4 linked regions of the Struthio camelus genome follow. The protein of the gene in region 1 binds, or shares a complex with, the protein of each later gene. Links are inferred from orthologs where the notes say so. Each region holds a gene or a part of one and is shown on either strand. Other genes may lie near its edges. The genes, in order: TFDP2, LIN54, E2F6 and E2F4.

Region 1 (7,749 bases):
TTCTGAGACTTGGTAGGGAGCCCTCCCCACTAAGCAAATCTTCAGTGAGTCAACCTGACTGTTCCTGTGGTTATGAGCTGAGATATCCAGAGCAGCTGTAGTAATGTGCTACTTAATGTACAGCAGATCTGGATCAAGTTCTGGCTAAAGCTCATCTTTCTTGAGATCTTCTCTCCTGAACATACTTAAATGAGAATCCTGACCTGAAGTCCGGAAAGGGGTCTCTTTGATCTGTAGTCATGCAGCAGACTGGTACCTATAGAAATTTCAAACTTTGCTTTTTGGACCATGAAAATGTGGTCATCCAGACTCCAAGGCTTATTAGCCTGTTGATAAGGGCCCCTCTGCTCCTCGTTCTGGTGTAAGGAAAGAACACGTGGAACACTCGTCTGCTTCTACCCCATGTCCAGCTTGTGATTTGCTTTGTCATCTCAGCCTCACTGCCAAGGAAAATACTCATTATTGGCAAGTAGGTTTTATTAAGCCAAACTGACCAGGGTTTGAGTCTGGCATTTTGAGCAGAAGCTTGCGGCCTCAATTTGCTGGTATTCTATGCTGTTATGACTGAAGGAGCTTAGTTTCATCAAGTCTACCTATCATCCGCTTAACGAAGGATCCTTGACTTTTTATCTTCGTTTCATAATTGTGTTTTTGCTGGGCTTGATTAGGGTTCCCCTGCCCTGCTCACAGCCGAAGATCTAATGGCTGATTAGATCTAAGATCTGAACAATTCTGAGTTACTGCCAGAGGAGCCAAGTGAACAACTCGCCACGAGCCTTGCTACTGGACCTTTTCACTGTGCTGGTGTTCGCCTTTGCCGTAGCACAGCTAGCAAGAGGGAAGACACTCAAGCCCTTAAACAGTTTTCTTTGTCTAGGTAGTGTTCTGGAGGACCTGTTCAGAATAATTCTTTACAGCTGTGACTGTTTAAATCTGAACCAAGACATTTAACCTGTTTTTCCTTTCACTAGCCTCAGATCTCTAAGGCAGAAACTTCACTGCAAAGTAAAGATGCAGAAGGACCCTGTTATGTTCACCCGCCAAACCTTTCAAATGATCTCTAAAGTTATTGTTTCCACTGTGGAGAGGTTGAAAGCACTGAGTACACCTCTGAAACAGATAACGGGGTGCTGTTAAGTCTGCCAAGATGGAGCTGCCTTTAGAGATAAGAGCATCTACCGTAGCTTGCGATGTGTAGCTACCCAAAGATTGAACAGACTAATAGACAGTACGTCTTGAAGAACTTTAATTACTGAAGAGTAAACGTCTTTTCTGTATCTGTTACAAGAAAAAATTGATTTTACCCTTTCAGGAAGTTTTTAGTATACTGATACTTTAATACCCTTTAATTGCTAATGAATGTGAAATAGGCTTTAAGCAATTAGATGTACTTTTACTGACCCTTTGCTGTCTCAATTTTTGTTAGTATTACTACATTAAAAGGCATTGAGACCATTGTGTAGGCTCATTAATATCAACTTTTATTTAAAATATGAGAGCTGTTACTTGTCCCTTTTAACTTAATTTTAGATTCTGCCTTGGAGGGTGGTTTTCATCAGTTTGGAAAGTGTATGCAGTTCTACATTTGCTAGCAGCCGAGTTTGATAGTGAAGATAATAATGCAAAAATGGTAAACATTACTAATTTGTACTGTAATATTTTAAGAGGTGCATCATATTTTGTCTGTCAATGTTCTGCTTGGGACTGGGTGGTAACGCACTTAAATTAGGCATGCGAAGATTGGGAATTCAATGGAGAGATGTGCTAATGATCTCTGGGCATTCTGCCTTCACAGGTTCACATGGTGTTGATGGATATAGATAAAATTGCCAAATTGGGGTGAAATTATCATGTGAGATTACGTGACATGAAAAATCTCTCAAATATCTGCAACTATTGGTTAATTATTGCATGTCAATAGGGCAGATGAAATAATCTTCTGATGGTATAAAATCATTTTGCGTTGAGTAGGTGTGGTGTAAGTTTTCTCATATAATTAAGAAAAGAATCAAATCAGCTAGTTTTAAAATCTCACTGGAAATAACTTTTCCAAGATTTTTTGAGTACTGTTTTCTTTTAGGCGGTGTTTTCTCCTACAACAGTTAATTTTATGCAAAACAAATGCGGTTGCTCTTAGGTGTTTTTGACAAGAGCATTTATACATGTTCTTTTCTCAAAAGAAAGTTTAAAGAATAAAAAGAAAAGAAAAATACCAAATTGCTTTTTCAGTCTGCTAGGCTCCTTTTGGTGTGGTCTGTGTAGCAAGATCCTTCAGCTAGTTCCACTGTATCCGAGATCAGAGAGCAGCCCAGTGGCTCACCATTTGACAGCAGCCTGTGAAAAAAGGTAAGAACTGTTTCTTGCCTGGAATATAGATTTTCTTGCTATTCCTGGTCCAAGCCAAAAATGAAGGACAAAGTCATCATTCTGTCTTCAAACTGTAGCACCCACCAACATGTCAGTCCTGCAGATTGTCACGAGTGTGGTAGTGCTCTGACTCAGCTGTGCAGCGTTTGAGTGAGCCTGAAGTTTTTATAGTGAGTTATAGCAAGTTCAGCAGGAGAAAAGTATGTGCATTTTTTGTTCGGACTGGCGTTCGTATAGGTCATTACAGCAAGAATTCGGGGCTAGCGAGAATGCGATGAAACTAGTGAAAATTGAAAGGTGATGCGTTGTGAAAGGGAGGGAAAACTCTGAACGGGATACGATGAGCTAGAGGGAGCAAGGCGGTATTTGGAGGCTGGGAGACCACTGACCGCTTCTGGGGGCAGATATCAGCACCTCCTGCCTCGCAGGCTTTGCTCTTAGAAAATCCATCCTTTGTTCAGTCTGTGCTGTCTCCCCAGCTGTCTTTTTTTAATATAAGAAACCAAATCCAGGATGTTTTGCAATGTGGTCCTCATTTTGGAATAAAGTTTGGAATTTAAGTTCTAATACATTATATACCACTATTTATTGTTACAGAAGTAACTGCGCTTACACTGTCTTTCAAACTGATCTTTGTTCCAGCAGCTTTGAACATGCACGTTATGTATACAGCCCTCTCATTCTGGACAGGTCACTGTTGAAAGCCTGTGCAAACTACAGCAGCGTGCTTTATTCTATTTCTCTCCTCCATAATAGTTCAAAGGTGTATTTTTCATATTCGTAATCAGTTACAGTATCCAACTTCATTTTATAGTTGTTTCTTGTAGCAGAACAGGAAACTAAAAAGAGCTTAACTGTCTTTACTGGGGCTGCGTTTCAAGTTCAGGTATTTGTTCAGCACAGGTAACTTACTGAACAGTGCGGTAAACCAGCTAACCTGGTTTACTTCTGTTTTGCTTCCTTTCTTTTCTAAGGCTGTGCCTGCCTTCTGCGCCTCTGTCAGGGCCTGTCTGAGTTGCCTTGCTGTTAACTGTTGTGATTAGAACTATTACAAGGGTCTTTGAGAGAAGACGCAATAGTTGGCATTTTTGTTTAGTGCTTTCATGAGGGTGTCTTGCATAAAACTACAAATATTGATAAAGATCTTGTTGCATATGACAGAAGTAGTTTATAGAGGATGAAGGGAAACTGAAAACACGTCGTCAGCAAAATATTGGACGCGCGCTCAGTCTTCTGTTGTGAATTGTCCCAGTGAAGTACACACACAGTTCTTGCTTGCCTGTTCCAATTATTTCCTTACTCTTTAGTTTAGGAACCCTAATTTACAAGCTGAACACCATTTGTTTGTTTGTTTTTAGGGGGATAGGATCAAACATATCTATCTTTTAGTATTGTCTGTAAAGGGAGAAAAACATGGATTTAGCAAATTTTCTGTTCTGTATGGCTTAGATATTTCTAAAACATGGAAATAATAGTGTTTCGGCACACAAATACTCCCTTCCCCCTCCCCCCCGGAGTAGCACTAGAGTGACTTTGTGTTATAGAATTAAAAAAAAAGAAAAACGAAGAGTTACTGCATACCTGGGACGCATGTCTAGCGCTCTGCTGGAGCTCTCGTTTCTTTCAGAAATGTCACGTCGTGGTTTTGAACGGAACTAGTCTAGGGTTGCTCCCCCCCCCCTTTTTTTTTAAAACTCCCAAGACACTTGTCTATTCTTTTTGTCTCTTTAGGAATACTTAATCCCGCTTTGTTGAAAGTAACTTTTGATGACGAGAGGGCAGCGGCAGGGTCCCGCAGGTACCGCTGGGCAGCGGGACGGCGGGGCCGGGGCGGGGGTCGCGCTCGGCCCGGGCGGCCTTTGTTTCACAGCGGGCAGGCCAGTGCCGCCCGTCCCGCCGCCCGCGCAGCGGCCGTCACCGCGCCGCCGGGCCCCGCCGCCCGCTCTGCCCCTACCGGGCTGCCCGGGGCGGGGCGGGGCGGGGCGGGGCGGGGTGGGGCGAGGGGGCGCGGCCCTGCCGCCGCCGCCGCCGCCGCGGGGCCGTCAGGGGACACGGCGGCCCCGGGCCTCGGCCCTCGGCCGGCTCCGCCCTTCCGCCCCGCCCCCTGCACCGCCGCGCCGGGGATTGGCGGGCGGCGTGTGTACACACAAGGGGCCGAGCCAATAGCGCGCGGCGGGCGCCCGAGCTCACGCGGTGCGGCGGCCAATGGGAGCGCCCGGCTGCCAGACGCCGCCAAGCTTGTGCGGGGGAGAAGGACCCGGGCAGAGCACGGCGCGGCGGCGAGCGGGGCCGGGCGCGGGGGGAGGTGGCGGCGGCGGCGGCCGAGCTGCAGTCGACGCCACCCGCCGGGGCTGGCGCACCGGCCCGGGCGGGCTCCCGTCTGCGGGGCCTCCTCGCTGGCGGCGGGTGCGCGGCGCCGGCCCGGCCGAGAGGCGTCTTCTCCGCGCGGGGCCGGGCGGAGCGGCTGGCTCCCCGCCTCGCCGTCTGGTAAGGGACCGTCGCTGTCTCGTCGCCGCGGCGCCGATGCCTAGGCCGGGCCTGCGCCGCCGCCGCGCTCCTCCTTCCTTTCCCCCCCCCCTCCCGCGGGGGCGCAGCGGCGGCGCCTCCCCCGCCCCCCCCCCCCGGCGCCCCGCGGCGTTTAACGGCTGCGCCCGCGCCCCCCCCCCCCCGCGCGGCGGCTGGCGGCTCGGGCGCGCGGGGGAGGCGGCGGCGGCGCCTGCCGCGCCCGGCGGGGAGTCGAGCCGGTGCCTGGCACCTGCGGGCGGCGGCGGGTGACAGCCGCCCTGCGCGCCGCGGGAGCGGGCGGAGCGCTACGCTGCGGGCCGGGCCGGACTGGGCTGGGCCGCCGCGGCGGGGGCGGGGGGCGCTGCCTCGGCGGCGGGGGCCCCCCCCCCACCCCCCGGTAGCCGGAGCTCAGCCAGCGGCTCGTGGCCCGGCGAGCCCTGCGTTCAGCCTCGCGTGGTTGCGCTGACTGCCGGATTCTCTCGGGGGAGGGTTGGTGGTTTGAAAAACAATAACAGCGTGAACTAAATAGACGCCTCTTCCCGTGCCCTCTGAGTTGCAGGCCTCCTCTGACTTTTCAGCCGAAACGGGTTTAAAGATGGAGAGGAGTCCGAATGTAAACGCAGCCTTTCGGGTTTAGGAATACAGATCGTAAAGGCATGGCACAACAATAGCAGGAAAGCATAGAATAAGTAAACTTCCTTGAGATGTGGAAGAAAAAAAACACATCTGGGAACTTGCTTCCCCATGGAGCAGAGAGATAGTGCTGAACTATGTGTGAGAGCTCGGACGGTTTCTTCATATGCTGCCTTCTTCTGTAGAAAGGACTCTGGTTTTCATTTTCTCTGTCGTTTTTTATGATAGTTAAGCTGATATAATTTAACAGATGTGCTGTATAATAATGAAAAATGATTATATGCAATTATTTTAATGAAACTGCGTTAATACTTTTAACAGTTGATGAGTCTTTTTCAGTGCTATCCCTTACATAGTTTAGCGTTGCTGATAGAAAAAAGTCAACAAACTATATGTTATGTGATGTTATTTTAATTACTTGCCACTTGATGTAATCTTTGATTAAAAAACAACTGTATGCTGCTATGAACTGATGCTACTAAAAGAGAAATGAATGAATTATTTTCCAGCGCTCTGCCCTCCCCAGGTTAAATCTGAATCATTTGATTAGGATATATTTTGTTTTCTACAGAAAACATCATTTTATGCATGGACAACGTCTCATAAAGGAAGATCAGTGTTGTAATACATATGCAGAACTCTATTTAGCAGCTTAGGTTTGTGCCAGTGTCATGTATGCGCAAAACCATTGTGCATAGTCAAGTCCTGAATTTCAGTAGCTTCTGTTCAAAATAGCATCTAGTATGCTAAATATAGCGCTTTGAAAGAGCATGGAGAAGTTCATGCTATAGAAAAGCCTTGACAAGAGAAGTAGTCACAAAAGAAAAAAAGTACAGATATCTCTTCTTTGAAAACTTTTTTGTTGTGAAGAGAGTCAAGTGCTTCTACTAGAGGTAAGAATAATAGAGCGAATAATTTAGTGTTATACTGAGGAAAAAATGGAAAATGACTAAATATTAGCAAGATTATCTCATATGGGTTGAATTTAAGAGCAATCTTATTTTACTGTCAAATTCATTGGGCTTTCTTTTAACCACTTCCTGTTTGCACAGAAATCACTGTTTTTGCACAGAGGAGAAAAAAGAAACTATTTAACTATTAGTTTGCTGATGTAGTTAGCTTTATAGAAAACATGCATCACTGATAGGCGTGCTCTTCATTGCCGCAAAAAGTTCTGATTGTTGTTCTCGCTCTACAAAATGATAAGGTATAGTTTTCAATACGTCTTGAGCCCAGCTGCCTGGTATAGAAGGGGTAGGCCAAACAACTTAGTTGGGCAAAAGGCATAGTGCTGTTTTGCAAGAGATCTGATGCTACATGAGAAGTCTTTGCTTCTGCTTTTGTGTACGTTGGACTCTATTGTAGGGGCCTCTTGTGCATCTGGACGCACTTGCTGGACAGTTGTGCGCCGCTTCAAAATGAAGAAAAGGCCTTGCCTTTCAGCATCTTTCTGTGGGTTTGGCTAAAAGTGCTGTTACAGGACTAGCCAAAAAAAGGAACCAAATTTCCAACTTTCCATCCCCTTCTAGAGTGTATATCGTTAACTGATTTAAGGGAGCAGACCACTTCATTGTACCTAGAAGAGTTTGGTGCAATTCTCTAAAAGCAAAGGGCAATTAGTGACCTGATATGGTTAGGGAAGGGAAGCTGAGGCCCATGCTGCGTAAATACTAATATTTACGCCCGTGGGTCCTAATTTGAATCAGAATGGGTTCTTTAGTTATAGCTAATCTAATTCAGTTCTTGGAGTTGATTTCCTTGATATGCTACCTTAAAATAGCATTCTTAGCCCTGTCTTTATTCTGCTATGTTTTCTTAAATTGCCTTTTCTGCATGCTTTTTTGGTATAACGATTAAGGATTTCTCACCCACCTTTCTGACTATATTCATAGAACGTGACTACTACTAGTGAAACAATAGTGAATTTTAAAATAGAGTGAGTTGATTATCCTTTTTCTGATCTAGTGCAAGAAAATAAACTTATGGAGTTTCCGGGTGCAAAGCCAATCTGAATCAATCAGACAAGTTTATCATAAAATTTAAGATATTCAGTGGAAAACAATCCTTAGTGGAATAATAGTACATATATTAAATCAAAGTTCATATATAAGATGCCTATTGAGGGATCTCAAGAACTAGGTGTATGCTAGGTAGTACTGTAAAAAGGTGGAGGTGCAGTGGGGAGTGGCAGTGTTATAACTGAACTTCCTATTTTGATTCTTTGTATACATCTTCTTGACATCC
Region 2 (7,324 bases), on another chromosome or scaffold:
ACTCTCCAAGTTAACCTTTAGCAGTGCTTTGCCTATGGACAATACAGGCATATCTCTTTCTATTGGTTAAATGTAAGTATGTACATGATACAAAACCAACACCTATTACTCGGTAGTACACATGTAAATTGGATGTTTTAGGGAATAAAAGGACATATGTAAGGCATTTTACTCTGAGGAAAGATTTCTCTGAAAGACCAAATACTCTCAGGCGATAACCCACTAAGCCAAAAAGCTATTCTGAATGAACCAGCCAGGTATATTAGGACTTGCTTATTTTAACTAACTTTATGTAAACTTGGTAAAGAACATTCAGTATTATTTTTCTATATGTACTATTTCCTATAACAATTCTAATGTGTTTCAGGCAACCGTTTAGAAGGATGAACCTATGGAAGGTCATTCAAATACCTGTTTTATCTTTAGTTAACATCTTCTGACAGCTTTTCTCGCGTTCACGTTATGTTCTAGAGGTCGACAAGTTCACACGCTCTGAACACTCAATGCTTTCCAGAACTCAAAGCTGCCATATCAGAAGTTACATAATTAGTACACGATGTGCAGAAAAGTAAAGGCCACCAATAATTAACAACACATTCTGACCAGCAATATACACCATAACGAACGAGAAGCAAAAACGATGAAGTGAGAAGCTCAGACTACTTGGCAAGACAGTCCAGCTAATTCACTGCAAACCACCGGATTCTCCGTTTCCATGCGTCCTTTTGGACGGAAAGTACAGGTACACCTTCACACTTCAGCCGGTAGAGGAACTACGGACAATACCGCGGGCACTTGTTACCACAACCTGTTTTGAACGACCAACTGTGGCTCCCAAGCCGAGCATCTCCAAACACAAAGACAACCTGCCCTCACGGAGGGCAAAGTCCACCACAGACACGGAGTTGCAGGAGAGGCCAGCCAGTCCTTCGCCAGCGACCCAAACCTGAGCTGGTTACGTGTTGTCAAGGAGTAACGGGATGAGAGAGTCCGAGGGCCTAATTCACCCACCAGTTTGTCCTGCCTCCTGACGCGAGCAACTTACGGAGCAGGCCGCCCGGCGCCGGAGCGAGGGGACCGCCACGCGCCATCCTGGCGACACCTGCCCGACCATCGGGCGCCGAGGACCCCTCACCCTTCCGGGTGCTTCCCGTCATCCCCAAACACCCCCCCGCCTCCCCCGACACGCCTGGGCAGCAGGACCGAGGCCGTGCCGACCCCCCGGCGCGGCCCCGGCAGCGGGGCGGGGATCCCCCCTCCCCTCGACACCCGCCACATTTGGCGACAACCAGAGCCGGCGGCCGGGGGAAAAAAAGGGGAGGCCGGGGGGGGGGGGCGGGGGAGGGAAGCCGCCGCCGCGACCGTTGGAACGGCCCGGCCCCGCCAACGGCCGCCGGCGACCGTTAGGCCCCGGCCCCCTCCCGCCCCCCACCCCCACCCCCCGGGCGCGCGCGCGCGGCCGCCGGGGCCTCACCTCAGCGGGGCGGGCGGGAGCCGCCGCCGCCGCTCCGTCAGCGGCCGCGACCGTATTTCGAAAGATCCGCCATTTTCACCTCGTCATCGCCGCCGCCCGGCGCCGCGGCCCCGCCGCCCGCCCCCCGCCGCTCGCCCGCCCCCCGCCCCCCCCCCCGAGGCACCGGCGCGGAGCGGCAGCGGCTGCTCTGGCGTCGCTGCTTCACCTTGAATCCCGTCGCTCCGCTACCGCTTGCGCTGCGGCTTCTTTCGGGAAGCCGCAAGGCAAAGGACGCTCGTTAGGGCAGCGCGCATCTCGCTCGGCTTCCGAGGAGAGGCACGTTTAGCCCATCGTTTCCTCCCCCACCCCAACACCATCCTTTAGTCGCTCCATCCGTATTTCCCTCCGCGGCCGGCCTGCGGTGCGCTCCGAGGAAATGCAAAGCCAACGCAGGCTGCGGAGTTACTTCCTCCCGGGCGACAGCCCGAAGCAGCACAGATGACGGCTCTGCCCTGCTGTCTCCCGCTTCTGGCCTCCGCCGAGGGACACGGGCAGCTGCAGACGCCAAAGCGGGGCAGCCCGCGCTCATCAGCGGGCCGCGGAGCCCCCCCAAGACAGCTACCGGGCAGCGGGGGCGGAGGGGCGACCCAGTGCCCCCCCACCCCGAGGAGCCCCCACAAGCAGACGGAGCCCGCCCCGCCGCGGGGAGCGAGCGCCGGCGGGGCCGGGCCTGCGCCCTCTCGGCGGGCGGCGGCCGGGACGCCGCTGTCAGCGCCGAGGCACCGCCGCGGCCGGGAGACCGGGTGTCTCCTCCCGGCCGTGGCCTCCTCCAGCCCCCCGGCACCGTGCAGGGCCCGGTGCGCGCCGCCTCCCCCCGCCGCCGCCGCCGCTTTCCCGCCCCTCGCGCTAGCACTCACCGGGCTGCCGCTCTTCCTCCCCCGCCTCCCCGCGCCGCCGCCGCGCTCCCGCGCTACCGCGCCCGGCGGCGGCAGGAGCGGAGGCGGCGGCGGCGGCAGCAGCGCCCGCCACCAGCCGCCGTGTTTGTTCAAAATCACGCGCCCCGCGCCATTCCACCGCCGCATCCCATAATACTGCGCAGCGCCGCCCTGGCAACCGCCGGCGCAGCGCCCTGCGCGCGCCACGCCGCCCCGCCCCGCGCTTCCGGCTCCCTCACACTCCCGCCTCCTCTTCCCCCTCCCCACCGCCACCACCCTCGGTCTCGTTCGCTCCCACGGCTCGCCCTGCTTCCGGGGCGGGGCCCGCGCGCGCCGCCGGCGGGGCGCGGGCCCCACCCCCGCCTCCCCCCCGGCACGCGCGCACATATGCATTTCTGTATGTTATATGCGGCTGGGTGCGGCCGTACTGCGTCTATAAATGAGTTCGTGCGTTTTTCGGGAGATGCGGAGCGCCGCGGTTGCGGCCGCCTTCCCCCGCCGCCATCACAGCCGGCCGGGCCGCCCGGTGTTTTGCCCCGCTCGGTACAGGGCGTGTTTTTTACGCGCCGGGCAGGCAGTGCCGCCGTGACAGGCCGGCGGCGGCGCCCGCCCGCCCGCGCCACGTGACCGCGGCGCGCCACCCGGCGGGGGGGGCAGAAGCGGCGGCGCCTCTCTAGCCTTCCCTCCCGCGGCTGCTCTATGGTAGGAGGAGGCGCGGCCGCCGCCGCAGGGCCTGATCGGCGCCGCAGCGAAGATGGCGGCCGCGGTGAAGCAGGACCTGGCGCAGCTGATGAACTCCAGTGGCTCCCACAAGGACCTGGCGGGCAAGTGAGTGCCGGCGTCCTCCTTCCCTTGGCGGGGAAGCGGCGACTGGGGGCAACGGCTGGGGCCGCGCGGCCGTTTTGGGGGGGAGAGGGGATGGGGCCGCGCGGCCGTTGCTGAGGAGAGTCCGCGCGGCCGTTGGTGGGGGGGGGGGCAGGGAAAGAGCCGGACGACCGTTGATGAGGAGAGTCCGCGTGGCCGTTGGGGAGGGGGGGAGGTCGTGGGACCGTTGCTGAGGAGGGTCCGCGCGACAGTGGGCTGTTGGGGGGGGGAAGGAGTCGCGCGACCGTTGCTGAGGAGAGTCCGCGTGGCCGTTGGGGAGGGGGGGGGGAAGGAGTCGCGCGACCGTTGCTGAAGAGAGTCCGCGCGGCTGTTGGGGTGGGGGGGGAAGGAGCCCCGCGACCGTTGCTGAGGAGAGACCGCGCGGCTGTTGGGGTGGGGGGGGAAGGAGCCCCGCGACCGTTCATGAGGGGAGTCCGCGCGGCTGTTGGGGTGGGGGGGGAAGGAGCCCCGCGACCGTTGCTGAAGAGTCCGCGCGGCTGTTGGGGTGGGGGGGAAGGAGCCCCGCGACCGTTGCTGAGGGGAGTCCGCGCGGCTGTTGGGGTGGGGGGGGAAGGAGCCGCGCGACCGTTGCTGAGGGGAGTCCGCGCGGCTGTTGGGGTGGGGGGGAAGGAGCCGCGCGACCGTTGCTGAGGAGAGACCGCGCGGCTGTTGGGGTGAGGGGGAAGGAGCCGCGCGACCGTTGCTGAGGAGGGTCCGCGCGACCGTTGGTGAGGGGGAAGGAGCCGCGCGACCGTTGCTGAGGAGGGTCCGCGCGGCCGTGGGGGAGGGAGGGAAGGAGTCGCGCGACCGTTGCTGAGGCGAGTCCGCGGGACCGTTGAGGGGAGGGGAAGCGGGGCGCGATGTCCTCGCCGCCAGCGCCATCCGGGGTCGCCGGAGGGGCTGCTGTCGCCTGCAAGTCGAAGGCTGCGCGGGCTCCCGGCCTCCGGGCCAGCAGGCATAGCTCTTCGCCCTGACGGTAGGGTGCTTCTGGGTCAGCTCTTGAAATAATATGATTCGTCCTCTTTTTCCTGCTTGTCTTTATTATTGTTTTCAATGAAAAGTGCCTCTGTGCTCTCACTGTCCTAGCGCAGGCCCCTTGGCAGTTGTGCTGGGCCTTACCGCTTCACTGTAACTCCTACACCCCACCCCATTCTGGGTGCCTGTCCGATTTCAGCTATCTGTCCGAAAACTGAGCAAAAGTGATAGACCGTGGGGATTTTCTTTCCCACAATTGCTTCATATGCGTGCAGAACTCCTCCAATGTGTTTTTACTAAAAAAGTCAACAATGAAAATTTAAATTTAAGTAAGGTATTTTGGATATGAGATGTGGGATTTGACTTAATCACTGTGCAGTATATTACCTAGTTTCTTTCTTTCAATTCACTTGAAATTCCTTCATTACCAGTCCAATTCCTTATTTTCTAGAGGAATTGCCTCAGATCTAGGCACTTCATATTTAAAAATTCCTGAAACGTTCCCCTGAAAATGCAGCTTCAACATGAATGTAACTCCTTTCAATGTTGTACATGTTAAGATTATGGCCCAGTAAGAGTTGCACCGGCCTTATACAACTACTACATGAAAGCTGCAGTGAGTATGATTTGTTAATATTTAAACATTTCAATAATAAATACTTTATAAAAATAGGGTATATTCCCTGCCTATGATACCATCAAGTGTCTATAGTATACTGTTTACTTCCATCTCTCACCCACCACTGCTTCTTGTTCCCCCTGAATCTGCCATTTTTGCACTTCTGTCACCAGTTACTGATTTTAATATGCGAGGGATATAACGTTCTTTACGTTTCCTGTGCTTTCTCTTTATGGCAAGACAGAAAAGCACTATCCCAGGAATAGGTTGGGGTTTTGATTTTCTTAAAAGGCATTTTTCATTGCAGATATACTAACAGATTTGTAACTATGTTACGGTGGAAACTAGTCCTGGAACTTTAAAAAGACACAGATACCAGTTCCAGGCGAACGTTCCTGGAATTTTAGCATAAACACTTGGGCAAACACGCACCTCGAAAACACAGCAAATGTAAATAGAAAAAGCACTCTAAGGAAGAAAATAAGCACAGAAACAGGAATACTTAATTTAAAAAAAATATGAAATATGACTTTTTCTTTTTTAATCTGTGGGCAGATATCGTCAAATATTGGAAAAAGCCATTCAGCTATCAGGCGTCGAGCAACTTGAAGCTTTGAAAGCTTTTGTAGAAGCAAGTAAGTGTGTCTGGTATGACTGTTCACACACTGACTAAATGAAGGTCTGAACCTGTGGGATTGCGTATTTGTTAGCTCTGCATGAGGCTAAATAAATGTATAATATTCTAGTCATATTAGAACTTAAACATGACTAGAAGAGGCACCAAACATCAGCATATTCAGACTTGTAAGTTTTCTGAGTTAATGGAACTTTCAAACCTATTAGTATTACAGTGTCTGAAGGTAGACCTAAGCACTGTGTACAAATGTAAACTAGTCTTTGTTGACTGGTAAAATGGATAGTGGATAGAAAGCTGTCTTTAAAGAAACAACTCTTCTCTCCTTCCAGTTTCAGGTTAATGGGGAAGATTGCCAAGAAGAAATGGTTTGATTTCTTTTTGGTGTTGTATTAGTTGTTTGGCTTATTGAGTACTTAAAGAAGTTATATCTGCTATATCCGATTTAGAATTTTAGAGTAAGCTTAGTGAAACTTAGACTAAATGTTTACTTTGTCTGAAACGTTTTAGCAGCTGAGAACAGCGATTCAGAATGAAACATCTTCCTAGGCGATAAATCAGAGCAAGAAAGACACTGCTATTCACCTCAGTTCTAATCTCTGGCAATCTCTAGTGTAAACAGATAGCATCGGTTTGTGAGAGAAGGAAAGTCATCTTTGGGCGGGGGCAGCCCATAATTTAAATTTAGATTTAAAAGTTGAAGAAGCTCAAATTTAATATTAAAGCAAGTGATTGAATGGCTATAGACCACTTACAGTGAAAGTGCTGACATGCGTTTCTTCCATCTTATATTCTTCTTCCATGTGTCTTTGAACCAGTGGTGAATGAAAACGTCAGTTTAGTGATCTCACGTCAGTTACTGACAGATTTCTGTACCCATCTTCCAAGTCTTCCTGACAGCACAGCCAAAGAAATATACCACTTCACCCTGGAAAAGATACAGCCTAGGGTCATTTCATTTGAGGAGCAGGTAAGACATCAGTGAAAAGCATTTCTGGTTTACAGGCTTGGCTTTGCGGTGTAACTGCTAAATATTGTTAGTCTTCAAATTTGTTGTTCAAAACAGATGTTCCTACTTAAAGTCCAATTTGGCATTCTTGTGCGAGCAAAACTTTTGCCAAATGCTGTGAGGATATGGGACTGTGCAAAGAATACAGTCTTTGTTTCTTAATCAGGATGCGAGGCATGTAATTCCTCCACTACCAGAAAATGGCTTCTTACAATGAGACAATACTTGAGCTACTGGAAAAGCTGTCAAGATACAGACTGGTACTGATTATTTTACATATTACCCAACTAATGGCATGGGCAAGTGATTGAAAAGAGAAGTATTTTACCAAGTAGCTTCTGTTGCTACTTAACATTTAAAAAAAAAAAACAACCCACATTTAAAACTCTTTAAGCCCAGAAATGTTGTACCAGAAAAAATAGTTTCCTAGAAATCCCACCTCTACAGTAAACTGCTGAATACGTTGCAGTTCTTTTTTCAAGTCTGTCCTTGGTTTTCTTGTACAAGTACCTCAGTATTTGCTGAGAGTGGTTACTGAAGATGCTTATATAAACATCTTACTGCATCTAATATTAGGACAAAAACCACGCAGTTGCTGTCATGATTTGTATTTGCATGTTGACCTTTTGTCTTTTTAAGCAGCTTTCACTCTAAAGCTTAACTGAATATGTTTCCCTGCATGTTATAGTGATTATGCAGAAATTAAATTCAAGGCATCACATGGCTACTTCTTTTAACCACACTTCTGCTTATAAAACCCAGATTCTAGCACTGCTACTTTGCCTGCAGACAGCTGCACTACAAATTAGAAGTTTTTGGATTAGTTCATGCCGTT
Region 3 (7,932 bases), on another chromosome or scaffold:
CACTCAAAAGTTCTCCACAGTATTTCTCTCAGCTTTTTGTAATGAAGGAATTGAAAATCTCCACTCCTCTTTGGTATCAGAGAGCCTTCTACCTCAATTCTTCTCATCTAGGTTTATCAATTCTTCTTTCATGCTCAATGCCTGAAGCAGGCCAGGAGTTCTGAAGCACTCCTTCAATAACAAATACAATAAAGCCCACTTGCAACAGAAGACTTCTGTTTATAAACTGCTTAGCATGAAAATCACAGAATCACACAGAATCACAGAATGCTTGAGGTTGGAAGGGACCTCCGGAGATCATCTAGTCCAACCGCCCTGCTCAAGCAGCGTCCTCTAGAGCATATTGCCCAGGATCACATCCAGGCAGGTTTTGAATATCTCCAGCGAAGGAGACTCCGCAACTCTCTGGGCAACCTGGCCAGTGCTCACTCACCCGCACAGGAAAGAACTTTTTCCTCACGTTCAGATGGAACTTCCTGTGCTTCAGTTTCTGCCCATTGCCTCTTGTCCCATTGCTGGGCACCACGGAGAAGAGTCTGGCCCCATCCTCTCGACACCCTCCCTTCAGATACTCATACACATTGATGAGATGTCCTCTCGGTCTTCTCTTCCCCAGGCTGAACAGGCCCAGCTCTCGCAGCCTTTCTTCAGAGGAGAGATGCTCCAGTCCCCTAGTCATCTTTGCAGCCCTCCGCTGGACTCTCTCGAGTAGTGCCATGTCTCTCTTGTACTGGGGGGCCCAGAACTGGACACAGTACTCCAGACGAGGCCTCACCAGGGCTGAGCAGAGGGGCAGGATCACCTCCCTCGACCTGCTGGCAACACTTTGCCTAATGCAGCCCAGGATACCTCCAGCAAGTTCTGGTTAAGACCTCTGCCTAGAAACTCTCAGGTTCTTCCAGATGGGAGATGGCTTGCAGCCAAGTTTCAAAACCCTACTAAACACACAACATTCACTGAACCTTTTTAATAACATACAACAGTGTTCATATGCGGCAAGCACTTGCTCTTTCCTTAACCCTAATGACCTCCTCAGGGTACTTTTTCCATCTATTTAATTTCTTATCTGGGTTACAGGTACAAAAAGTAGACGGCTTAGGTTAATAGCATGTCCTAAAAAGGTTTATCTTGCCACAGATACCTATATCTATGTCTATGACATACCATGTCACAGATATCTATGCCTTTTAATTTTATTTCAGGTGTACAATGCAGGACATCACAAAAAAAAAAAAAGAATGCTGCTTAGCGCTGCTCTGTAAAAGATTTGATGCAATTTTCCCCATACTCATCTGACAAATGAAAGAAATTGACTTGATTTCTTAAATTAATGGGTGAGTATTCACCATCTATGCAGAAGCAATTTTTCTACCCAGATTAAGATAAGCAAATAATGTTTCACATCTTTATGCCTAATCATTATGCAGTGGTGAAGACCTTTAATAGGATTTCAGGAAGGCTAAGAAGCTTACATAAACAGGCATAATAATATACCAAAATATACATTTTAAACAAATACTTACAGCCATTTCTGTTTTCCATGATTTTTCAGTTTTGCGTCTTTGCAGGAAAATATTTCCCTGCTCATCTTTGCAACAGTACATACGAACCTCCTGGAAGATTCACTTACAAGTTTATTATCACTAAATAGAAGACTGTATTTAATACAGGATCTCTCTTAAGTGTGTATAGTTTCTTACAGAATAAGGCCTTGGTTTTAATTGTAGTATTGTACAAATTCTATACATATAAATAAAATAAATACATACTAAATGAGGATATAAACATATCTGTCAGGTGATATTTAGGATTATGCATACAGGCTAATAAATACTAACATGAAACTAGTGTAATAAACAATAAAAGACTAATGGGAAAGCAATGACATTCAAAACAAATTTTAAATCATTAGAGTGGGAATATAAAATATACAAAAAATTCCATTTTGTATGAAACCTAAACCATGCAGCACAAGCTTCACCATTAAAAATTTTATATAAAACAATCTAATTTCAGCTGCTCAAAATGGAAGTACAACACTTGCAGGAGAAGCACATATAAAATAGAACATTCATTTTATTAACCTCAATGGAATTAAATTACAGTAGTGAATTTTTTTAAGCAAATCATATTTTAACTTTTATATATAGCACTTTACAAATTTAGTGGAACCACTGTTCTAATATATACTAATTTTAACAAATCAGACTTAGGAAATGGAATTACCGCCCCCTGGTGGCAGATCAAAAATCAATTCAAAGTGGTAAACAACTTCAAACTGACAACCAAGCAAATCTTTCACTTTAAGAATCGTGTCCAGTACGGTTAATGCCTGGAAATATCACAAAAAGCTAAAGAGCTATTTTCGTATGCAATAAGATAACAGTAAGTGGAGTATAATTTACATTTTCATATGCTAGTGCATTAACCAAAGAATTAATGTGGAAGAGATTTCATTATCAGTTTTATTAAAAATAAATAGTAATGCACTAGAATTAAACCCTTTGATCAACAAAATGCCATAGCTGAAATTCCTGACAGTTCAGTTTCTTCAAAACCTAATTTTCATTTAAAATAAGAATCAGAATTTACACTTTTCACGTGAATGTCAAAAAATTTTCCTGAATCTGAATCAGTGTAGGACTTTTCTTTGCTCAGTTACTTATTTCCACAAGCCCATTGATAGAGGCACAGGAACAACAGAATTTTATCTTATGAGCAGCTAGAAAAACAGTACAGTGTTCTTTTCTAAAAGATGTAAATGTTGACACAATGTTTTTCACATGGGTTAAAATGGAAATGCATGTGTCCTAATCCTCAAATTATAGTACTTAGTCTTCCTCCCAGAGTCTGTCTATCCAATAATCATCAAAATTATACGTAAAGATTTTTATGCTACATGGCACATCCATTACGTAACCCCAAAATAAAGTGGTTCAAGACATCTATTCCAAACCATTTTGCTGTTCCAGATGGAAAAAATTGCTTTATCACAGTGGGTTTATACGACCTGTGACAATAAATGTAACATATGTCTTCCAGTCAAGAATACAAAGAGGGAGACATTTTGATTCCTTGTGGGAATATAGATTTATCACCTTGAAGTAGTCAGCAAGAATTATCATGTTCATAAAAAATGAATATGAATCAGGAATGTCATGCAAGTGTTTTATCTCACCGTGATGTGTTGTTGCTTCCATGGAGAACCTTTTGCATTTGCATTAGTCCCAGCTCTCCTGAGAATACAAACAAGCACCATCCGCATCTTCAGATCTACAACTCAAGTCTTCATGTCTCCTGATACACAAAAATCATAGTTTTGAGGAGTTAAAACATACTTTTTTTTCCTGTTTTTTTTTTTTGTTATAAACTGATTAGAACATGAGAACAACATACCTCAGTTCTGTATGTCTCTACAGGGACAATTATTGTTACGCAAATCATCGACTAGAAATCAGTTGCTACACAGAAAATCCCATCCTGTATCAAGAGATCTGATGTATCATCAGTGGCGCCAAATGCTACTCCAAAGGAATATCTAACCTGCAAGGATAAGAAACAGCTAGTAAATGGAAATGGATTCAATATTTTGTCAAGATAATAGAATGTTAGTTGACCTATCCCATCAGATGCATTGGAAAATGAATCAAGTCCTTCATGCCTTAGACTTCCTCATAGTAGACTAGCAGTTTCACAAAACGTCCAGTGAAATTCACATTTCTACAGAGCACCTGCTTTGAGGGTGTGGAAGGTGGGGGGGACTTTAATTTTCACCAAAAGTTGTAGAGCAGGGAAGCAAAATAATTCAGAATGTTTTCACGTAAAAGAACTCTATGACAGAGCATCTATTGTACCATATGGTAGAGGCCGTTAACTGGCATAAACAGCAATCAATCAACACACGGTTTAACGGACAAAAAGAGTTACATGTTTTACAGAAATGTTTTCATCTGACAAACAGGAGCTAGCTACTAAGCGATGCAGACAAATGAGCAAGGAAACAGTCAGTGCCTGACAAAGGATATCAGAAGTATGGAAGGAAGCACGGAAACTGCCAGTGAATTGGGTATTTGGGAAAAGATTTGAGAACTCCTGTTGAGAGGGAAACGTGCAGGCTTAGTTGAGGCAGCTGCATTTGTTGGCTCCTCTCTGGCCCTTGAGGAACGTACTCAGCTCTTCCCCCACTAACGACTTGTAATTAGTGATTCTCAGTAGGGTCATGGGATCCTGATCTCCTATGGCCGCCTGCTCCTGGCCGGTCAGGACAGGAATGCATTATTTGGCAAGAAGCAATAGTAATTATTTCCACTTGTCTTCAAAGGTGCCTGGGCAGGGCACTTTCTCCTGGCTTACATTGCACATGGAGGGAACGCAAGGATCCTGCTTTCAAATAACTGAGGTAGTGAAAACTCCTGTTTTAATCCACTTTAGACCACTGGGGTGGTGAAGGGAGTTCTCCTTGCCACCCACAGCCCACTGGAAAGACACGGGGGGAGGCGGGAGAGCAAATCTTTTTTTTAATACTGCTTCGGGGTGGGGAAAGGGGGCAACAGCGCAGGGAGCACCAATCTGGGCGATACTCGAAGAAGCCTCCTTCCCCTCGGCGCTCAGAGGAGACATCTCCCCGGCGCTCCCGCAGGCGTGAGCCAGGCAATCGCCGCCGAGCTGAGAGAGAAAGGCGCCGGCGGCGGCCACCCTCCCCCCACCGCGACCAACGGCCGTTGAGGCCCCGGCGGGCGGGAAAGGCGGCGTGGGCGGGGCCGCTGCGGGACCTCGCCGCAGAGGCTCGTGGGTAAGGGAAGTCGTCGCTCGCCGCCCTTTTGGCGGTGGGGGGGAGGGAGGTTTGTCGTCGTCACCTGTCGCGCGCCGCGCTCGCGCCCGTCTCCGCTGAGCGGGCTGAGGCGGCGCGCGCGGGCCGAGGTGGGGTGGGGAGGGGGGGGCAGCCGAGCGCGCGCGCGCGCGCGGCCGCCGGGGCCCTCTCTCCCGCCCAACGGTCCGCTGGCGGCGGTGGGGGAGGGGAGGTGCGGCCGTAACGGGCTGCGGCGAGGCCGGGAGGTCCCTCTACCACCCCTCTGTCCCCTCCTCCCTGAGGCGGGGTGGGGATGGCGGCGCCTTCTTCCGACATGGACTCGCAGCCGCCTCGCCGAGGCCCCTGAGCGCCCTCCCACCGCCGCCTGCCCGCCGGGCGGGAGAGGCCTGCCTCAGCGCTAGGCCGCGGCCGGCCTGAGGAAGGAGGAGGGGCCGGACGAACATGGCCACCCCCGCCAAGTGGGAGCGTCTGAGGCCGCTGCAGCCGGACACGCTGCGTGTGAGTGAGGGACACGGCGGGCGGGCGGGGAAGGGAGGTACTGCCGGCGGATGGGGCTAGGGCGGGACGGCCCTGCAACGCTGTGCTCCCGCCACTGAGCGATTTAAGGCGATCCGGGAAAGTCTTTCCTCTCACCTGTCTGGCAAGATATCCCTGAGCGGGGAAGATGTGGTGTGCCTGGCCTGAGAAGTACACAGAAGCATAGTGATGCTTCCCTCCCTCATGGCTTTTTAGCAGGCTGCCTGGGAGAGGAGGCTGTCATAACGTTAGTGAGTGCAAAGCAATGTCTTTCCTAGCTGCGCTAACTATAACCTGTTAGTCGAGTTAACTAGGTTGTAGATGTGTTTGAAAAATCAGTTGCAGGGTGGTGCTTTATTTTACTCTTATATGAACGTCTGTGAAGTTCAGGTAATCTACTTTTCTGTGGTATCTGGCATTACTTTTAGTAATGTTACGAGGTAGCTAATTAAAAATAGGTTTACTTTTAATTCTGTGTCACTTTCTTTAAGAAATGCTTGGTTTTATTAACTTCAGCTATTGGGCTAAATGTTATTTGGTAGCATTGCCTTCCTGCTATGAAAAGGTTTCCCTGAATTTTTTCCATCAGTAGTTGAAAATTTCTTACTACTAGAGATGGTGATTTTTAGAGACAAAGGGTGTAGGGCACAACATAATGCCGCGTGATGGATCAGCCAACCAGAGGTGCTGTCTTGAATCTGCCTCTCATCAACAAGGAAGTCAAGAGTGTGGTAACCATTAGCAGCCTTGACTGCAGGGGCCACTGAATAGTGGCGTTCAAGATGCTAAGTGTAGTGAGGACGACAAGTAGCTGAGCGCGGATGCTGGACTTCAGGAAAGCAGACTCCAGCTTATTCAGGGAACTGGTAACTGAGATTTTTTTTTGGAAGGTGACTTTGTAGGGTAGAGGAGCTCAAGACCTGGGAGTTCTGGTAAGCACACCTTCACTCAAGCATGGGAATGTATCCAGGAATGTACCATCCAGATACACAGGAAAACAAGATGTGTGGAGGCATGGCTATGCCTGAGCTTGGGGTAGGGGGATCTGCAGGTGGTGGAAGTGAAGTCAAGCTACAGAGGAGAATTGTCTGGACATGTAGGCATGATGTAAGGAAAGCTGTAGCTCGGTTAGTGTTGAAACTGCCAACGGATGTCAAGGGTGACAAAGAACTTTTACCTTAGCAGTAAAAGAATAAACAGGAAAACGTGGATCTGCTGTTGAATGGGGCAAGTGATTTAGGGACAGCAGACACAGATGAGGTTGAAGTACTCGGCCTTCTTGTTTGGGTCTTCAGAAGCGAGGTTCTGTAGGCTCTTGTATCTAAGGATAGGGCTCAAGGAGAAGAGGAACTACCAGTAGTGGCAAAGTATCAAGTCTGGGATTTCTTGAGAAATCTCAGCCCCTACAAGTCTCAACAGGACCTGACGGGATGCTTCCAGAGGGATCTGAGAGAGCTGACTGATATCATTGTGAGGCTGATCTCTGTCATTTTCAAGAGGTTGTGGAGATCAGGTGCAGGTTGGTCAGCCACACTTCAGTCTCTCAAAAACCATGGAGCGAGTTCTCTTGGAAGGCATTTCTTAGGAACGTGAAGGAGAAGGTGGTGACTGGGATTAGCCAGCATGACTATTCTTGCATGACCAAACTGATTATCTTTTTTGATGAAATGACTAGCTCTGTAGATGCAAAGTATTGGATATCATCTGCATTGACTTTAGCAGCACTTTTGAAATAGTATCCCACAGCATCCTTGTCTTCAAGCTGGAAAGTTACAGATGGTCAGCTGCATCTATCCTGTATCTTTATGGGTGATCTGTAGGAGGGCGTGGGATGTGCTCTTGCCAAGTTTATGGATGACACCAAATGAGAAGGGGAAAGTGCCATAGACCCCTAGGCACAAACTGGAGGAATGGTTCAACAGGAGCCTTATGGAATTTCATAAGGAAGTTGACAATTCAATTCAGACTAGAAATCCGGCCACCTGACCCTATAGCCCCCAGTGGTACACACTGGGAATTGAGTGGCTGGGGAACAGCTCTCCTGAAAGGACCTAGGCATCCTCGTGGACAGTAAGCTAAATGTGAGCCAGCAGTATGCCTGGTAGTGATGAAGCCCTGTGGGACTGTAGCAGCAGGAGCATAGCTAACAAATCAGAAGAAGTGATTATTTTTCACAGAATCACAGAATGGTTGAGGTTGTGAGGTTGTGAGGTTGTGTCTTCTTTATCTGGCGCTTGTTAAAGTACTCTTGGATTACTCTGTCACACTTTAAGAACTCTAGTACAGAAAGGATGTTGATAAACTTGAGTGCTACCAGCAGAGATCCACCAAAAGCGGTCTGGAGATTAGTGTACATGAGCTATGAGGGAAGCTGAAGGAGCTGGGCTTTTTAAGCCATAGCAGTGTTCCAGTACTTACTAGGAGGTTATTGAGAAGATGGAGCCAGGCAGTTAACAGTAGTCCATGATGGAAGGATGAAGGAACCTCTCTCGCCTCTCTTCTTTCATTTCATGCCTTTTTTCCAACTTGATATAAGGAGAAATGTTTCACTATGAAGAGACACAAGCAGTGGAAGAAGTTGCCCGGAGAGGTGCAGCCTCTATCCT
Region 4 (7,132 bases), on another chromosome or scaffold:
AGTAATCAGTTCACACAAAGGATATCGACTGTTCTGCACGTCTTCTGTAACATTTTTGATGCTCTGTTGGACCCACATCTTCTGCTGCTCCAGCTCCTGTTCCCGCTGCTCCAAGTCTTCTATGTCTGCCTTCAGCTCAATGAGTTTGTGAGCTATTTCACGTGTGTTGCAGCCAGGACCCACCCCTCTGTGCAATGTGAAAAAGGAATAACATGCATCAGCGTCTTGAGCCATCCAAACCAACTCCTCTGTGCAATGTAAAAAGGAATAACATGCATCAGCGTCTTGAGCCATCCAAACCAACTCCAACATTTCTCTTGCTGCCATCTCTACCATATGCCAAGCTCAGATCTCCCAGAAAGCCTTACCTGTACCTGTCCTACACCCTTCCTAGCATAGCAACATTTAGCACATCCTCCTACATCCCACCGGCTAACAGGACTCTCCCACCCCAGTGCCACAGCAGGCATTTTTTCTAATCCAAGGCACTACAAATACTTCATCTGTGCTCAGATAACAGCTCCATTAGAAAAGGGACATGCCACATGTACTTCAGCTTTCCTCATTACTAGCAACAGCACAGCTCAGCTCGGGGAAGCACAAGCATGCATAGACCACTGAGGAAGCTTTCCCTGAGCAGGGCATTTTAACCACAATGTTTAAACAACAACCACATGAAGCCCTGCTATCCTGCATGGGGAAAAGACAGCTGTGAGATAGGACCTTGGACTAAAAGGGATCTATGAACAATTTAGTCTTCTCTGTCACTCACTTCCATTGGATACTGTTCTTCGATTTCTTCTCGATCAGTCCAATGCCTTCCAGGACATTTGTGATATCGTATATTCGTCGTTTCTGCCGCACCGCTAGGGTATCTGCAGCCTGCAGAAAAGTTGAAAACTTAACTCCAAACTCTCAGCCACCCCTTGCTCCCCACCTCATGCCTCTCTTGCCCCAGCGCCTCAAACTACAAAGCCATGTTCTTAACATCGTTACAACAATCAGAATTAGTCACTGCCCCTTTGTTCTTTTTCTTACCCACAGACCTTCCCATTAACCACAAATCTAATTCCAGCCACCTCATTCAGGGCTGGTGCAAAAATCATTGTTCCTCAACAATAAAGCTGTGCTAGAAGACACTAGTCTGGCAGCCTAAAAATTCAGTGCTTGTTCAGTGTAAGACAGATGAGAACGGACAGGAGAAGGTAGAGAGATGCCTATACAGTTGACCACTGTTCAGTAAAGTGGATGTTTAAAAGGTCTTTTCTATCTACATCTCATGCCATTTGATAGAGAGAATCAACACCTTCTCAAAAGGCAGATTTCTTTATATGAAAGAGTCTCCACTGGGGGAAGAATAAGTACAGTTATAAGGACGCAGCTCCTGAGCAACCCTCGTGCTTCCCTGCCTTGCTCGCTGCTGTTTTGCCCCAAGGGTTCCACTACTACAGTTCTCTTCAGCTTGCTGGATACTCCAGACAATGTTGAGCCTTTCGTTTCCACTTTCATAGGGCAATTTAGCAGCACTAGGTGTTTAGCTGGCACTGTGCTGGCATGCTAGAATACTACAGATGGCATTGCACAGCCAGTCAGACACAGATGGTCAGCACAGAAATGACTTTCCTCTCTCACACATCTTCACGGTAATGGACCAGGGCATTAGAGACCCTGCACAGCACTACTGCTCAAATCACACTGACAAATATGAATCCTAGTTAATGTATATTTTGAGCAAGAAAATATTGCTCTTCTGACAAAATCCAAAGAGCTAACAATTTGCCATAGCAGAGGACTGTAGTCTACAACCAGAAGACTCCTCCCGACCCTCCATTTTTAGGGCTTTCCCACACCTGCCTGGAGCCTATGCAGGGGTTGTCAGAGTGAACTCACACACATAGCCACATAAGAGATTGGTATAAACCACACTGAAAGAACTTCATATGCAGAGGAGGCCTAGATATAAGTATTGCATATTTCATTAAGAGAGTTCCTTTCTCTAGGTGAAGATCTTGAAAATGCATGAGCAAGGTGCACTTGCAGAACACTTGTCCATAACATAAAGGCATCAGGGCACAGTCCCGGCAGAGATGAATCTGATTTCACTCTCCTTCCTGCTGTATGTTAGAAGGCCAAAATGCAGTAAGGAGCAAGTTTCTCCATTTCTGCAGCTCTCCGATGAGGCATTACAGGGATCTATCATTACAACGTCTGTGTTCAAGTAGCAGCTTTGGGAGATTGGGGCACCATGTGACAGAGCAAACATGAGGCAGAAGGCATGTTGGACTGAACAGCACCTGCACCTGGCCTTCCAAAGCCTGGCCAAGAACGTGGAAGAGAAGAAGATAGCCCAACACAGTTCAAATAGAAATACAAACGCTGAGTGATGAGAACTATTTGGAAGGAAGCTGCAGGAGGGAATATCTACACTGTGATGGTAAGTACCCGGCCACTTCTGCATGTTCTATGTGCAGTCTGGTAGCTCTGCCACATCCCCAGCTCTTCCCGGGGACTTCTCTCCTAGGCTGAGCTCTTTATCTGCCTGATGAGGAGGCCTCACCTCCCTAGACCTGCTCCACTAGAGATCGCCATTTCCACCTACGCTCTCCCCCACAAAACCTGCTTCACTCCCCGGAGGACCAGCCACCTCTGTGCTTGCCGGCGCTTAGCTCAGCCGTGCCCGCAGGAGTTCCAGCAGAACTCCTCAGCTCCCCAGCTGCGCCGGCTCCCGACTCCCAACACCGGCGGAGCTCCCCTTGATGCTGGCCCCAGTGCGGCGGGGCGGGAGAGCCCTCACCACCCGCCGGTAGCCCCGCACCAGCTTGAGGTCCAGCACGCCGTCCTTGGCCTCCTGCAGCAGCGACACGAACTTGGTGGTCAGCAGCCCCAGGCTCTTCTCGTGCCGGCTCGGCGCCCCCGCAGCCCCGCTCCCACCCCCGGGGGGCTGCGGCCCGCACTCCGCCATCTGCCCGCCACCGCCGCCGCCGCCGGCTCCGGCCGCGCCGTGCTTCCGCTTCCGGGCCGCGGGGCATGACGGGAACTTCCGCTCCGGGGTGGCCTGAGGGGTGGGGGCGGTGGGGGCGCCAGGCGGGGCAGCGCGCATGCGCATGTGCGCGAGGTGGGGCCGGGGTGGGCGAGGATGGGTGGGGTGCGCGCTGGGTGCCGGGGCGGCTGCTGCCGACTAGCGGGGAAGGCTGGCCTCGGACACGGACGTCGCAGAGGCGCGCCCTGCACCCCTCCGCCTTTGTCCCCTCAGCCAGGTTCGCTAATAAAGACGTTGAACGGCCATTGGCCCCAGGACCGATCGCTGAGGGACACCACAAGTGTCTGGCCGCCAGCTGGACTTTGTGCCGCTGGGGTAACAACTCTTGGAGCCTCGGGGAAACTCGGTGTCGCGTTTATACAGCAGCAACGCAGTGGTCTCTGGTTTGCTCCCAGGTATTAGACCTTTCCTCAAACTTCATGGCAGCTTTGGTGTTTTGGGAGCCTTTTTTGAGGTACCTGCTACGTTTAGTTTGGTCATCACGGTAGATTATGAACTGGGTGTCCCTGCTGTATACCCTGCCTTCAAGTCGTACCTCGGATTTGCTGAGGTTTGACCCTCTTCCCCCCTGCACCCTGAAAGTCCTCTCAGGCTGCATTCATCCAGGCAACCGTTCGTTGGTAGTTTTGTTTCCAGAGATGTGTAGGGCAGCAGCCTCACCTGGGCAGAGTGAGATCTCTGACCGTGCCACCTTCTGGTGGGCTCCTGCTACAGATACAGAAAGTGCAATGAACACACAAACCCAGCTCACACTGCCCAGGCAGGCACCCCTGGGCAGCCAATACCGATTAGGGACACCTCACTACCCTCCTTGAGCCACACGAGCTGCTTTGCAGCCCTGCACTGCAACATCCAGCTGTGATTGAGACCACCCCACAAGGCAGGCACTGGGTCTATGTTGGCTGCATGCCCAGGATGAACCAAACTGGGGGGGGGGGGGAGGGGGAGGGGAAGAGGGGGGGTTGGGATGGGAAGGGCACACAGGACATGATTTCTATTTGCAAAGCCTGCGACCTGCAGTGACTACAGTGCCTTCCCCCGCTCCCCCCAGTTCCTGACATCCTGAGTGTGTCTGCGAGAACACAATGAGCCCCTGAGGAGTGTGCATGCACTCGCTGAGGAAACGGCTGCCGGCTTCCTCCGCACAGCCCAGCCCTGCACCCTGGAGCTTGCACGCAGCACTGAGACGATGGGCATGTCTGCGGAGGATGAGCACACCGTGAGCCCCAAAGGTAATGGGGACAGCGCGGTCCCCCACGGAGCTGGCATCCTGGGCAGGGGAGGGATACAATTACTGGCAGTGCATCTCCAGGGCTAGGGGCTCTCAGTGATGCCTGTGCTCCCCCAGCCTCTGCCCAACCATCTGATGGACCTTTTCCCCATGCCAGGCACAATGCCTTCTGCCTTTGGGTGGGTGGAAGCCCAGCCCTGCTTCCTGGCAGTGATAACCACAGCAGGCTGGGATCATCCCTTGCTGCGCAGGGTGATCTCCCCTCCTTCCTGATGAGCTGCCCATCTTTTTAGCACTTACTGGGGACAGTGCTACCCGCCGCACAGCTCTTCCCCAAACCTGCTGCTTTCCCCTGAAGTCCACGGGCCCAGTGCAGACAGGCTCATCAGGAGCATGGGACCCTAGCTCGGGGCTAGGTGATGTCCCTGTGGGGCTATGGAGGGTCCCAAGCTGGGAGAGCTTCTGGAGAAGGGAGAAAACAATGAATCCAGGTGCTGGGGATGGGGGTGAGCATGTGATAATTGTGCCAACTCTCAGCCCCAGTCCTGGAAAGATGGCCACTGGCATGTCTTCATACCCTGTACCAGGGCCAAGGCAGGACACAATGGCTGGCCCCACACAGCTGCAGCCAGTGCCTGTGGGAGACTGAAAAGTCCAGGAGCCTCCTGGCCTCACCTCAGTCTGACTCTGCCTTCAGTAGTGGAGCTGCCCAGGCAAGGGTGGCCCCAGGGCCCTCTAAATCAACCCCTCTGGGGACTCCTTCATGCAGAGAGACTGTGCAAGCTGTCGCCCCTCCATTCCTTCTGCTGACTCATTGCTGAGGACTCAGCCCTGCCAAGGCCTTCCCAGGTGGTGTGAGATCCCTCCCCCACCGGCCAACAAGGGGACACACTCCCAACTTTGGTGACAGCCTGAGCTGACAGGGCAGTTGGCAGCTCTTTGGGGTAGTCCTCTGCCATGACTGCTGCATGGCCTCCGACCTGTGTCACTGGGATCCCTCTTGGGGCCCTCCCGGAAGGGCCTGCTTGCTGCTGCCTTGTCTGGCTTCCCACATCTGTGTGTGCTAGAACATCCGCTTGTGGCCGGTTTCCTGCCTCTGGCCCTGGGGGCCCTTCCTGCCCCACAAGGAGAGGCACATTTCACTCATTAACCCCGGCTTCACCCCCAGATGAGGAATGGCCAGAAGTGGAGAAGGCTGAGAAGTTAGCAAGAGGAGCTGCTCTGAAATGGGCTTCAGGGGTGTTCTACTGCCCCGAGAAACTAGAAGGGCTTGGGCAGTACCGGAGCCGGGAAACACAGAGGAACAGCTCCATCCAGTCCCGGCTGAAGGTGGGTGTTTGCCACATCCCACCTGATGAGCACACACAGCTTGACTCTCTTCCCATGCAGGGATCCCAGCCAGGGTCTGGTCTTCTGCATCAAATCACTTTTTTTGCACTTCTGGAACAATCTTGTCTTTGTGCTGGCTTTTGATGGGAGAAATGCTGTTGTTGGGGGGGGAAAGAGCCAGGAGAACCCCCTCCTGCCCTAACCCTCTTGGTTGCAGTGTGGTTAAAGTGCTAAAATGGGATTCCTGCATCTCTCTCTGTAATTAGAAGCAAAATACCAAGGATATCCAATGCATCCCATGTGCAGAAACCAGTGCTCCCTGTTGCTTCCCTATCCCAGCACCAAGGGCTCCCTTTCTCTATGGCTGGGAGGAGGTGAAGAGCTCCAGCCTGCCCCATCCCTGCCTGCAAATCCGCACAGGAGAAACAGTATTTTTACACAGAGATAAGGGATTTAACTGGTCACTGTGCATGCCTACCTGGTCAGGGTGACTCTATGATCCTTTTTTATATGACCTCAAGAAACACTGACCTCAGGACGTGAGTGGTCTGAGCACCTTGGACCTTGTCCTGGCTATCCTGATTTCGGAGATGGTTTATCCTGCCCTAGTTGTGGGGAAATTGTCCAGGAGAGGACTAATTTTAAGTAATGTGGCTTCAGAGAAAACCTGTTTCTGTCAATGCTGGGTAAAAATGCTTCTTCATATCAGAAGCCAGAGGTGAAAGGGGCGGAGAGAGCATGGAGACGTACCAGTGCCACTGGAGGGCTGAAAAGATGGAAATCCATTTTGGAGGAACGTTTGTGTGGCCACTGAGGTGTTTCGTGCCATTAATCTGTCTCGGGGGCGCAGTGGGGACCTGTGTCCTGCAAATATTTTAGTATTATTTTAAAGCTGAAAGCAGACATCTGGGCCATTCCTGTCACTGGAGCAAAAGGGTGAAATGGGCCATTCCTGTTGCTGGAGCGGGTTTCTTGGGGCTGGGTGTACATGGGGAGAGCAGGAGCTGTGGGATAGGGACATTGTGGGAGATGTGGGAGATGTGGCAGCATAATGAGAGAGGCAGATGCAACCTTGTCGGAGTGCAGACCACGTGCTGCAGAGGCCTGGCAGGGCTGGAACAAAGGGTGTGCGAGTCCCCCATCCTTTGAGAGCTTCCCCATTGCTCCTTCATCCTCTTCTGCTCCCCAGTCGACTGTCCAGTCCTACCTGGAGGGAGTGAACGCAGGGCTGCAGCAGCTGCGGTCAGCGGCCGAGGAGGTGCAGAGTGTGTGCCAGGACTTGGGGGCTGCACGGTGGGCCCTGCTCGACAGTGCTGACCACTTCCAGGTCTTGCAGCAGATGCGGGCACTGATGGCGGAGCATGTGCAACTGGCCTCAGTGGTAAAGGTCCTGCCCCAGCTATTCTCAGGTAAGGTATTCACCCAGTCCTTGGGGGTTTTGGCTGAAAGGCACTTGGGAGTGCTCAAGTGCAACTCTGGCTTCATGCAGGGAGAGCCCCTTTGCTCTTTGGTGGCAAAGTTAGAGCAGGTTG

Evidence for each region.
Region 2: TFDP2 (region 1) and LIN54 share a complex: the UniProt entries of both Homo sapiens proteins name them as parts of the DREAM complex. The link is inferred for Struthio camelus from reciprocal best matches to the Homo sapiens genes TFDP2 and LIN54.
Region 3: TFDP2 (region 1) and E2F6 share a complex: the UniProt entries of both Homo sapiens proteins name them as parts of the DRTF1/E2F transcription factor complex. The link is inferred for Struthio camelus from reciprocal best matches to the Homo sapiens genes TFDP2 and E2F6.
Region 4: TFDP2 (region 1) and E2F4 share a complex: the UniProt entries of both Homo sapiens proteins name them as parts of the DRTF1/E2F transcription factor complex. The link is inferred for Struthio camelus from reciprocal best matches to the Homo sapiens genes TFDP2 and E2F4.

The regions. Positions count from the first base shown.
Region 1 is NC_090950.1:15,383,300-15,391,048, reverse strand, and holds the start of TFDP2 (transcription factor Dp-2), read left to right. Parts: upstream 1-4,739; 5' UTR 4,740-4,854; intron 4,855-7,749. UniProt on the Homo sapiens protein: Can stimulate E2F-dependent transcription.
Region 2 is NC_090945.1:10,330,170-10,337,493, forward strand, and holds the start of LIN54 (protein lin-54 homolog), read right to left. Parts: upstream 3,012-7,324; 5' UTR 2,817-3,011; intron 2,596-2,816; exon of another isoform or gene 2,371-2,595; intron 2,011-2,370; exon of another isoform or gene 1,680-2,010; intron 1,587-1,679; exon of another isoform or gene 1,475-1,586; intron 1,045-1,474; exon of another isoform or gene 524-1,044; 5' UTR 434-523; coding exon 412-433; intron 1-411. Other genes in the region: COPS4 (COP9 signalosome complex subunit 4), read left to right, coding at 3,143-3,216, 5,402-5,481, 6,299-6,450. UniProt on the Homo sapiens protein: Component of the DREAM complex, a multiprotein complex that can both act as a transcription activator or repressor depending on the context. In G0 phase, the complex binds to more than 800 promoters and is required for repression of E2F target genes.
Region 3 is NC_090944.1:23,562,478-23,570,409, forward strand, and holds the start of E2F6 (transcription factor E2F6), read left to right. Parts: upstream 1-4,924; 5' UTR 4,925-5,251; coding exon 5,252-5,308; intron 5,309-7,932. UniProt on the Homo sapiens protein: Inhibitor of E2F-dependent transcription. Binds DNA cooperatively with DP proteins through the E2 recognition site, 5'-TTTC[CG]CGC-3'. Has a preference for the 5'-TTTCCCGC-3' E2F recognition site.
Region 4 is NC_090951.1:24,434,280-24,441,411, reverse strand, and holds the start of E2F4 (transcription factor E2F4), read right to left. Parts: upstream 3,012-7,132; 5' UTR 2,963-3,011; coding exon 2,795-2,962; intron 883-2,794; coding exon 773-882; intron 188-772; coding exon 26-187; intron 1-25. Other genes in the region: EXOC3L1 (exocyst complex component 3-like protein), read left to right, coding at 4,230-4,272, 5,440-5,600, 6,790-7,009. UniProt on the Homo sapiens protein: Transcription activator that binds DNA cooperatively with DP proteins through the E2 recognition site, 5'-TTTC[CG]CGC-3' found in the promoter region of a number of genes whose products are involved in cell cycle regulation or in DNA replication.